Bombyx mori: one gene and its partners. The protein of the gene in region 3 purifies or fractionates together with the protein of the main gene of each other region. This does not show direct contact. Links are inferred from orthologs where the notes say so. Each region holds a gene or a part of one and is shown on either strand. Other genes may lie near its edges. The genes, in order: RING-type E3 ubiquitin-protein ligase PPIL2, peptidyl-prolyl cis-trans isomerase and zinc finger protein 830.

Region 1 (2,760 bases), on a different chromosome or scaffold from region 3:
TGTGAAAAAGGTATCAAAACATCGGCACAAGTGTATCAAGATACCATTCTTGAGAAGGTAGTGAAGGCCCTTAACAACACCATGTTCAATAATTAAGAATGGTCCTTCCAGCAAGACTTGGTGCCAGGTCATAAAGCTTGGTCTACGCAGTCTTGGTTGGAAACGAACGTTTCGGACTCGAACTTGACAGCTGAAGACTGGCCGTCGTCTAGTCCCTATCTTAATCTGCTGGATTATAATTTATGGTCAGTTTTAGAGAGTACGGCTTGCTCTAAACGCCATGATAATTTGGAGTCCCTAAAACAATCCGTACGATTGACAGTGAAAAATTTTCCCATGGAAAGAGTGTGTGCTTCTATTGATAACTGGCCTCAACGTTCAAAGGACTGTATTGCAGCCAATGGAGACCACTTCGAATAATCTTTTAATACTTTAAATTGTTTTATATTTATGTTTTAAACTAACACACTGTAAAAGTAATAAACGTTTTTGCAATAGATTTTTTTTTTCCCTTTGTCTCAGTATTTATGGCAAGACTAGGTAAACTCACAGTCTTGAGTAGAACCAAAGCACTGGTCTTCTTCACGTTCTTGTATTTATTTAATTTTCAAATAGTGAAGTTTTGAGAATAGTAATTTTATTTATTGTTTTAGAAAATTCATACAACACGAAACTACAATTTCAAAAAAGCAACTCTGTCCCAGTCCTAAAAGCTTCAGTTCATTTATAGTTATTAAAAATACATCTAGTACTTACAATTGTGATCCGTTAGTATTGGTTCCCGAGTTAGCCATAGACAAGACTCCTCGTCCGGTGTGGTGCAAGTTTGGCTTAATTTCATCATCAAAAGGTTTCTTCCAAATGGATTCGCCTCCCAACCCTGTGCCCGTTGGATCTCCTCCTTGAATCTATATATATAAAAATGAATTGCTGGTCGTTAGTCTCGCTAAAACTCGAGAACAGCTGGACCGATTTGGCTAATTTTGGTCTTGAATTGAATGAAGGTTTAAAAGGTAGATAAATATGAAAATGCTCGGAATTAAATAAAAATAACAATTTTGTTTTCCCTTTGAGTTTATTTTTTACAAAAGTTTAGGTTTTTTGTTTATCGAGGCACTAAGAAGTCGGCCGCGTCAGCTAGTTTAATAAAAAAATCATATATTTTAAACAGGTAAGTTGTCTAATCGCCAGACGAACTTCACGGTCCATCTGGTAATAGACAGTTATAGACAGTCTAAAACTAAACGCCTCTGGCATGATTGCTTTGTGTTAAAAATAGACAGAAAAGTGAGACCATAGGTCATAGGTTCTGTATCCTCTTATCACCTGTTTATCCCAAAAACCATATTGCAGATATAGTAAGTAGTTCTGAGCTTACAATAGAATTACTCTAGACACACATCTGTCTCTAATTCAATTTGTTTGTTCATTGATAGTTTTCATTAAAATAATAAAGCTAGCTGTCCCAGACCAACTTTTTTTTCAAAATGAAGGATTACTGGTGGCCTTTCCATTGTCACCAGGACAGGTGGGCGAGCAAAGGCTCAGTCAGGAGGCCATATCGAGAGGTGTAAGGCTATTTGGTTTAAGCGATATTTCGCTTTATACGCAATGCAATAATAATGTTGTATCTATTATAAAAGCGTTGCAGAGATAACACAAAGGCAGTCAGTAATCGCATCTACTCGAAGCGAAACAGCGAACGGATCACCTGAAGCGAAGCGGAAGAAGTGAATTAAGAACTTTAATGTTGTGGTTTTTTTTTTGCTTGGATTGGTGGACGAGCTCACAGCCCACCCGTTGTTAAGTGGTTATATGCGTTAATACAGTTTTAAATTGTACTTCGGTAGAATTTTTAGTTATCCCGAATCCCAACGCGTAAAAATATTTTGTCCCAATTATAAACTTTAAACGGTCCTCCTGTAATGTAGCAAAAATGTCGCTTAAGCCCTTCGATCAACAATTGTACTATTGTTGATCGAAGCTTAAGCCAAATGGCCTTTCACCCCTCGATACGTAGTTTAATTAATCAAGATGTCAGACACTTTTTTTAGGACCTCTTGAGTCCACGTGGGAGACCACCACCCTGCCTATTTCTGCCGTGAAGCAGTTATGCGTTTCGGTTTGAAGGGTGGGGCAGCTGTTTTAACTATGTGGGCCTGCGGAAGAATTTCGATTCCCGCGGCCCCGCGTGCACGTGTGGTGAGGCACCAGGGTGGTTTTAGCCGGTAGGAGTCCAGCACGCCCCTCCGCCTTTCACCAGGCGGAGGCAATCCATGAGGATTTCTCCCCGAAAAAAAAAAGCTGTTGTTACTATACTTGAGACCTTAAACTTATATCTCAAGGTGGGTGGCGCATTTACGTTGTAGATGTCTATGGGCTCCAGTAACCACTTAGCACCAGGTGGGCTGTGAGCTCGTCCACCCATCTAAGCAATAAAAAAAGTTGAAGTTCTGCAAAGCAGAACTACCAGTCTTTTTACACTAGTCGTGGTATAAAACTCAACGCCACTTAATATTTTCATCAACTCACCATAAAATTCCTGATAGACCTGTGGAACTTTGTTCCGTTGTAGTATCCATTTTTACAATGTGTCATGAAGTTGTGACAAGTTTTGGGCGTTACGTCGCAGTACAATTCAAAGTTCAGATGTCCTACATTTGTTACCAGTCTTACATAACCTGAAACAAACATTGTCTGGTCTTAACAATCTTGCCCTTACATTACTCTTCATGAATTAAAGAGTGATGGATGGTGTTT
Region 2 (4,381 bases), on a different chromosome or scaffold from region 3:
ACAAGACAAAGAATGAGTATATCAGAGGAAGTTTGAAACAAGCGGACGATTAGCGCGGTATGGACATGTGATGCGTAGAGAATTGAGGCATGTGACTAGGAGATCTATGGAAATAGTATGAAAAAGGTAGAGGAGGAAGAGGTCGACCGAAGAAGACATGGTTGGAATGTGTGAACGACGATATGATATGAGAGAGACGAGTGAGTGTTGAGATGATGGCTAATAGAAGAGAATGGAAGAGAAAAATTAGCTGTGCCGACCCCACCTAGTTTTTTTTTTATTTCTTAGATATGTGGACGAGCTCAAGCCCACCTGGGTAAAGTGTGTAGTGGGATAAGGTGGAGAAAAAGATGAAGAAGAGAAGAATTTCAATGTAAATTTACACACTTTGTTTTAGTATATTCATAACATCACTTGAAAACAATTTAATGTATGTGCTAACTCAATAAACTCTTGACTGGAAAACTGGACACAATACGAAGACATGGAGAGTATCATAGAACAAAAAATTACCATCATAATTTCACTTCCTTTGAGGTGAAGTTAGAAAAGTCGATATTTAAATAAAATTCAGACTTGTAATTAACGTCTGAAGGTAGCATTCGCTCTGTAACTGACATAATACCAAATTACAAGCCAAACGTTTGACAGAGTTTATGTTATCTCAAGAATATGACTAATGCTAGTGACAAAGTTATCAAACCCCTTACCCAGAGTCTTTATACATTTACTTTAAACGCTTTAGTCCTTATATTATGCATCCTTAAAATCAATCATCTTTATCAATGTTTTGGATAATATTTATTATCCTTTCACATGTTATGTCCGAATCATAACCATCTTATTTCTTAATTTGATGTACTTTAGATTACTTACACTAGTAGTTTCGGTTTTGTCTTTCGTTTCAGTTTCTTCACCATCTTTGTTCAGTTGAAGAGTTTCCCCAGCATGTTTCTGCAGCCATGAGTCATCCGACCAGACAGGTCGTGTGGAGCCTTCTTTAATGCGTTGCGGAGCTGCTATGTTCACTCGTATTGTTCTACCAAATAGTTCTGAATCATTCTAGAAATAAATAGTTAGATTACAAGTTAAAATGAGAAAATATTACTAAGCATGTTTAAATTTTTTTAATTATGCATTCCACAATATGTCTATATTTCTAGGGTCATCTATGTCTCTATGGATGTCATTTTCTAGTAGATTAATAATTTCAAACCTATTTTATAAAAGCTTATTTACTGTGTATATAACTTTTTTCTATTACAATATCCTACACTTTAGTTATGAATGGCAGTTTGATAATGTATTAAGCTAATATTATATTAAACATTTTAGTGTTAGTCAATTAAATAAATTATTAAAATAATCAAAATCTCCTTTAATCCGGAATTTAAAAAAAAAAACCTTTGAAACATGACGTGTATAAATATATGTGAAACAATATTTTATTTACTGTAATAATATGTATTACAAATATAATTATAATATCAGTAAAAAGTATTTTCCAATGATGAGGTTTAAATTACACACAAATAATTTTAATTCTCCCTTCAATACCTTATATTGAGGGGTGAAAGGCTATTTGTTTTAAGTGACATATTTTTTTATTGCCGTATAGGCAGACAAGCATACAGCCCACTTGATGGTGAGTGGTTACCGTCGCTCATGGACGTCAGCAATGCCAGGGGAAGAGCCAAGCCGCTGCCTACAAACATTCGGACATATTGACATTTTTGGAACTTAAAGGCCATTTAAAGTTTAAAATTTGGAAAAAATACCATAACAAATAAACTTCTTTAGCTTTTTTAATGGAATAAACTCAATTAAAGAGCAATTAAAACCATCAAACTGTTCTTGCTAATACCAAATAAAACACACCTTTAATTATGAAGATGAAGTTGTGTATTAAGGAAAATGTTGCTTATACCAAATAGCATTTCACTCTTCAATATAGATTCCTTTAGCTATGGTAGGTTTTGCTTGTGATAAGTATGTACAAACTCATGTCACCAGGTTTATGTAATTACAAGACAACAGCCATCAGAATGTGAATGCTGCCACCCACCTTGAGACATAAGGTTGTAGTTTCAATTGTGGTTATTCCACTGGTGATGGCTACTGTGCCAATCAGAAATCATAAATAAACATGTTGGTGGCACCTACCCCTTGGGCTTACAATATACCCTACCATCTGTAATAAAAACTCGGGGACTTCCGAGTTATAACAACAATAATAACACTTCTTCACCTCTTACTATATTCACAATGGACATTTAAGACCGAAAAAATGTAAGAATTTAAAATGTCAGATATTATTGTATAAGTAATAAATATAGACTTATATATCTTATTTGTCCAAAAATAATTCCTGAATGTAATTTCACATTCTTTAACGATAAACAAAGATGTGTACCCTTCGTTTGTACCAAAATGAGTATTTTGTATCATACCTATGGACTAGAACTGAAAGAATCCATGTCCAGCATCTGCCATGTATTTCACTGTAAAAGTACTGACCATGTTATCAATCGCTGCGGCAGCATCCTCAGCGTTTTCGAACTCTATGAAAGCGAAGCCCCGATGCTTCTCAGTCTCATAATCCAAAGGTATTTGAACATCAACCAAATCCCCGAAAGGGATGAAAGCAGCGTTTAAAACTTTCTCGTCGACCTCCTCAGCTAGCCCTCCAACGTATATTGTCCGCTTAGAATTAGGCTTACTCGACATTTTCACGTGTGTTTATATTAAATTATTCGAAATTTAAATGAAATTTAGGTACATAGCTAACTATTTGTGTGATAGCGCCGATAGCGGTTTGTTTATATCAAACATAACCTCAAAGAGAATGACAATTCAAAAAGTCAAATGTCATTTTGTCAAAGGAATTCATAGACCTATAGGTTTCCTACTTCATTGAAGGAATTAAAATAAACAACATAAGTAATCACTTAATATCTTTGGATTCAATGATTTTCAAATAAACAGTTGATTTTTACGTAATTTAAGGTAAGCTCAGAGTAGCAAATTACACAAACGATAAATATCTCATTCTCAGTTTCAAGTATGATAAAATATTTTCCTATTCGATAGTGAGATATGTAACAAAATAGTTTTCTAGTTGTTTTTTGATTTAATCTAACTAGTCACGAATTAATTTATTGGGAATATCGGCATTTCTCCTTTTTAAACAGGAATTTAAGATTGCTCTATAGCAAAAATAGATAGAAGAGTTCGCCATTGGCGCCGTCTTGCAATCTTTGTATCTGCCACCAGTATATACCAAACAAAAGCAGATAAGAAATTAAACGTGAGGTAGAAACGAAATCCGTTCTTAAAGACGGATGAATAATAAAAAAGTAAAATGGAAGGGAGCTGAAGGGGGCTGGTATACTTACTGGTTAATATAATTTCAACTAGGTATACAGTATAATTACAACTAAATAATCATTACATTACCTTACCAAAAGCCCTGTAATATTTTATAGCAAAAGGAAAAGCAGTGGAAACCGTTAAGGTTATCATTAGGAAAGAGTTATACTATGCGATTCTGACCTACTCAAACTCAAAATTAAATATCTCTTCGGCAGCTCGTTTCTTTTTTAAATACTGTGTTGGATAACAAAGGAACCAAACACCGGAGTGTAATGAAAAAAATGTATTTTGTATTAGTAATACATGTGAATGAAATTGAACGAAATATATGTAATGAAACGATAAGATGGACCGCAAAGTTTTTCAAAAAACTGTCAAATCTGACGGTTTTGACAGATATAGTCTAGTCCTTTAAGGTACTCAAAATAATCTACAGTTAATAAGTATTACACTTCTTATGAAAACAATCTACGAAGGTAATGGACGAATTCTTAAATGCCTCTAGAATTTTCATCTCTTCTTCAAACCTTATCCACCTAATGCTGAGTATAGGTCTCTTCAAATACACTCCATTATTCTAGGTCTCTTGCCTATCGCATCCAGTCCAGACTAATAATAATCCAGAATGTCCATCAAGAACGACCAGCTATTGAAGGGGTGGTGGCCTGCGGATTATGACGCCCGGTGCATTCGGATCGAGCGCTGCGTCCAAGCCAGTAAAACTGTAAGAGCCTATAATAAAAATCAAACCTGCGAAAATTATATAATGCGTAATTACTAATGGTAGGGTGACTTATACGCCCACAAGAGTAGGTAGCAACACTCTGATTTTTACTGCCGTGAAGCAGTAATGTGTTGGTTTTAAGGAACAGCCGTTGTACTGTAAAAATTTAGACCTAGAACTTATGTCTCAAAGTGGATGGCGGCTTTTACGTTGTTGTTGTCTATGGGCTCCGGTAGCACATAACGACAATTGGGCCGTGAGCTCGTCCGTCCATCTTCAGGCTGC
Region 3 (4,236 bases):
ATTTTAGGTACTTCAAGCACAGGTCACCGTTCTCGTCGAACCCGTCGCTTTCGACGAAGGGCTTGACGAGTAAATTAACCCTCAGACACAGCCCACTGGGTTTCTCGCCGGATCTTCGCAGTGGGTCGCGTTTCCGATCCGGTGGTAGATTCTACGAAGCACGGCTCTTGCTAGGGTTCGTTTTAGGAACGTCGTCAGGTTTGAGCCCCGTGAGCTCACCTACTAGGAAAAAAAGGCCGTACGCTTTTTCCAGATCAACGAACACCCTAGGCAGATTCCTGTGCACGTCATGGTATTTTTCGCACACTTGGCGAAGTACAAATATGGCGTCCGTTGTCCCGCGACCAGGTATGAACCCGAACTGGTTTTGGGTGATCTCACTTTCTGAAACTAACACTAACTATACTGAGATCTTAGAACTAATATCTCAAGGTGGGTGGCGCATTTAGGTTATAGATATCTATGGGCTCCAGTAACCACTTAACACCAGGTGGGCTGTGAGCTCATCCACCCATCTAAGCAATAAAAATAAAAAAATATCAAAATATAAAATAATTTAGATAAAGATTAGGGTAAATCGTAATAAAAGAACTTTTATGTAGCTCATTATAGTAAAGTATTTTAATAACACATATCAACAGAAAAAACTTTTTGTTACGTAAACGATTTTTTAGACCTCCAATCTAAAAATTCGTCTATATCATCTTCGTTTTCTGATTCACAATTTTCGTCTAAGCTCATTTGGTCCATTTCGTGTATTTTCTTTTTCGTCTCTTCTTTTTGTAATTCCAAATCCAGGACTCTGTAAAAAAAAGGAAATTAAGTTCATTACTATGTTGAATAATTTAAAATTATTTAATTTAATAAAATTTTAGGTATTTAAAAGTAAAATTTCAGAGTTGTTTTTATCGTACCGGGACCATTTTCTAATTTGTTCGTCGATTTCTTCTATTTGTCGCTCTGCAGTGGCTTCTTCTTGTTCACCTGCTATAATTTCAGCTGATGCACTAGTTTCTTCTTTTATTTCTTTTCTGAATTTTTCCCATTCCTCTTCAATTGGATCTTTATATTCAATCTTACGAACCTAAAATAAAATAAACAATTTTCAAAATAAGCATAACGAATTTTCTCTTACGTAGACGAGCGAACAAGCAGCGAACATCACACTTTGTGTTGGAGTTTAGCATAGATATCACAACGTGTATGTCGTCATCCACATTAAGATATGATGTAGAAATCTCAATTTCATTGAAAAATCGTTCGAACTGGAGCGCATAACCGATACACCGCAGAAATAAGTGGGACCTACCTGGCTTATTACCGAGTGTGACTTAGATGATTACATTTAGTGAATAAATATTTTTTCTCATTAAAATACAAACAAAATCAATTCAGTTTAGTACTGCAAGTATTTGCAACCCATATGGATCAATAAACTGTTCCCATATACAATTATGTCGGTGCCGGTCATCATCGTAACGTAGCGTGAAAGCAATGAAATTTGTATCGGTATGATCTTTTTTTATCGCTTGTATGGGTGCACGAGCTCACAGCCCACCTGGTGTTTAGTGGTTACTGGAGCCCATAGACACCTGCAACGTAAATCCGCCACCCACCTTGAGATATAAGTTCTAAGGTCTCAGTATAGTTACAACGGCTGCCCCACCCTTCAAACCGAAACGCATTACTGCTTCACGGCAGAAATAGACAGGGTGGTGGTACCTACCAGTGCGGACTCGCCCTACCACTAGTAATTACGCAAATTATAATTTTGCGGGTTTGATTTTTATTACACTATGTTGTTCCTTCACCGTAGAAGTAAATCGTGAACATTTGTTGAGTACGTATTTCATTAGAAAAATTGGTACTGACCTGATATTCGAACACCGGTGCATCGCTCAACACGAATGCACCGGACGTCTTATCCTTTAGGCCACGACGATCTTCCATAAAGTCCACTGAAAAATTCTCAGTAAATGACCACCATTTTACTGAGATTATATTTCATCCCATATATTATTTTTCATATAAAAAAAGTTTTCATTAAAATTAAAATAAGACTTGACCTAAAGGTCTTAGTTACCAGGTCATAAAATCCCTTAAAAAAACATTCTCAGTGTGTCATGGTAATTTGATAATGTTATTACGGTATTTTTTGCGATTTCTATGTACTATACTACAGTATTTTACGAGGTTTAACTTAATAAAATGATAGTTTGTTAACTTTGACGAAAGTGGCATACGTTTCATATGATTCTTTCACAAGTTTAAAAATAAAGCAGTATCGTTCGAAGCGTAAGATTTTAAGGTCTTTCAATGAAAACAAATTTAATTTTGTTGAAAAGTTTTTCTCTTATTAGACATAGATACAACATGGATCCTACAAGTATGAAAAACCTTATTAAAATATGCATACCACCTCTGGATAAAAGTAGTCATAAAGGGCAAGCCGGAAGAATAGGGGTAATTGGTGGTTCTTTAGAATATACTGGTGCACCTTATTTTGCGGGGATTAGCTCACTCAAAGTTAGTAATTATTCAGTATTCCGTTTTTGTTAGGTAAGACTCATACAATAAACAAAATTTCATAAACATAAATACATCCACATTCTAGGAAAAGAAATTATTCATTAATCATGATACTCAACCAAAAGTTATGTGTTACTCTGAATATGAAAACATCCAGTGTAATTTAAAACGAATATTGATAATAAAGAACATATTTGTTAAAATTGCAGGTAGGTGCAGACTTGGCACATATATTTTGTTCTTCAGTTGCTTCTGCAGTAATTAAATCATATAGCCCAGAATTAATAGTGCATCCACTACTAGATAAGCAAGATGCTGTTGAGGAAATATTACCATGGTTTGACAGACTCCATTCTATAGTTATTGGCCCTGGATTAGGAAGAGATTGGCAAACATTTGATATAATAGCAAAATTAATAGAAGTCATCAAGCAAAAGAAAATACCCATTATCATTGATGCTGATGGTTTGTTTTTAATAACAGAAAAACCAAACTTAATTAAAGATTTTGATTCACCAGTAATATTAACCCCTAACAAAATAGAATTTGAACGACTAAGTAATAAAATAGATGTACAGACAATGGGGAAAAATGTTACTATATTAAAAAAAGGGCCCAATGATGAATTAATAAGTCCATTTCCTGAGTTCACTTGGTCATTGGAGACTGGGGGATCTGGACGGAGGTGTGGAGGACAGGGTGATTTATTATCTGGAACTATAGCTACATTCATGCATTGGACTCTCGCTAATATTGATAAAATTAAAATACCAGATATATCTAATAATAAAATGTTAGCAGCTTCTTTGTCTTGTTATGCTGCATGTATTTTAGTAAGAAAGTGCAATGAAAAGGCTTTTAAATTAAAAGGTCGAAGTATGTTAGCTACTGATATGATAGAATTTATACATGATGCTTTTGAAGAATTATATGACCAGTAATGTTTAGTTTCTATAAGGATAGTGATTGTGAAATAATGGTTTAATGAAATTATCATGTATGTATATATTAATAATGTATAATATGTAATGTTTTTTACTCAAATTAACTAAATTATGTGCTGTGTTTAAAAAGCAGAAGAGTTATGAAGTAATATGTTAGTTGATATTTTATAACATCTAATATCTGTTACCTTTGCATCTAAAACTGGGTCATCAAAAAAACCTTCTGGTATTGGTACATCACTTGCAGGTTCCTCTTTTTCTTTTTGATCTGTAGTCTGTACAGGTTCATTAACTGAAACATAATACTATGATATACTGTTGGCTATCATCTCACTCTGAGAATCATTTTTAGAAATTATATTTCTAAAGAGAAGACTTATGTCTGTGGTTTGCACTACAGAGAAGTACCCAATGATATGCAGGCGAAGTAAAATGTCCCTTAGAAATAAGGTGACACTCTACAAAACTTGCATACGCCCCGTCACTACCTATGCAAGTGTAGTGTTCGCTCACGCGGCCCGCACTAACTTAAAATCATTCCAAATCATTCAATCCCGTTTTTGCAGGATAGCGGTTGAAGCTCTGTGGTTCGTCAGGAACGTTGAATTCCATAACGACCTGGACTTTAGAGTCCATCAGTAAGTATCTACAGTCGGCGTCAATGTGCCACTTCGCCAAAGCGGCACGACACGAGAACCCTCGCATCGTGGCCGTCGGTAACTACATTCCCGATCCTGCGGACAGAATGGAAAGCAGTCGACGT

Evidence for each region.
Region 1: the proteins of zinc finger protein 830 (region 3) and RING-type E3 ubiquitin-protein ligase PPIL2 purify together in Homo sapiens (co-immunoprecipitation; 4 studies listed by BioGRID and IntAct, counting the BioPlex papers as one, with this or other methods). This does not show direct contact. The link is inferred for Bombyx mori from reciprocal best matches to the Homo sapiens genes ZNF830 and PPIL2.
Region 2: the proteins of zinc finger protein 830 (region 3) and peptidyl-prolyl cis-trans isomerase purify together in Homo sapiens (affinity purification with mass spectrometry; 3 studies listed by BioGRID and IntAct, counting the BioPlex papers as one, with this or other methods). This does not show direct contact. The link is inferred for Bombyx mori from reciprocal best matches to the Homo sapiens genes ZNF830 and PPIE.

What each region holds. Positions count from the first base shown.
Region 1 is NC_085116.1:14,595,378-14,598,137, reverse strand, and holds part of RING-type E3 ubiquitin-protein ligase PPIL2, read right to left. Parts: intron 2,682-2,760; coding exon 2,533-2,681; intron 909-2,532; coding exon 757-908; intron 1-756. UniProt on the Homo sapiens protein: Has a ubiquitin-protein ligase activity acting as an E3 ubiquitin protein ligase or as an ubiquitin-ubiquitin ligase promoting elongation of ubiquitin chains on substrates.
Region 2 is NC_085121.1:14,019,399-14,023,779, reverse strand, and holds the start of peptidyl-prolyl cis-trans isomerase, read right to left. Parts: upstream 2,883-4,381; 5' UTR 2,728-2,882; coding exon 2,518-2,727; intron 1,063-2,517; coding exon 877-1,062; intron 1-876. UniProt on the Homo sapiens protein: Involved in pre-mRNA splicing as component of the spliceosome. Combines RNA-binding and PPIase activities.
Region 3 is NC_085115.1:6,224,449-6,228,684, reverse strand, and holds the end of zinc finger protein 830, read right to left. Parts: exon of another isoform or gene 3,766-4,236; coding exon 3,662-3,765; exon of another isoform or gene 3,471-3,661; coding exon of another isoform or gene 2,739-3,470; intron 2,527-2,738; coding exon of another isoform or gene 2,317-2,526; exon of another isoform or gene 2,094-2,316; intron 1,085-2,093; coding exon 915-1,084; intron 803-914; coding exon 655-802; 3' UTR 593-654; downstream 1-592. Other genes in the region: ATP-dependent (S)-NAD(P)H-hydrate dehydratase, read left to right, coding at 2,317-2,526, 2,739-3,470.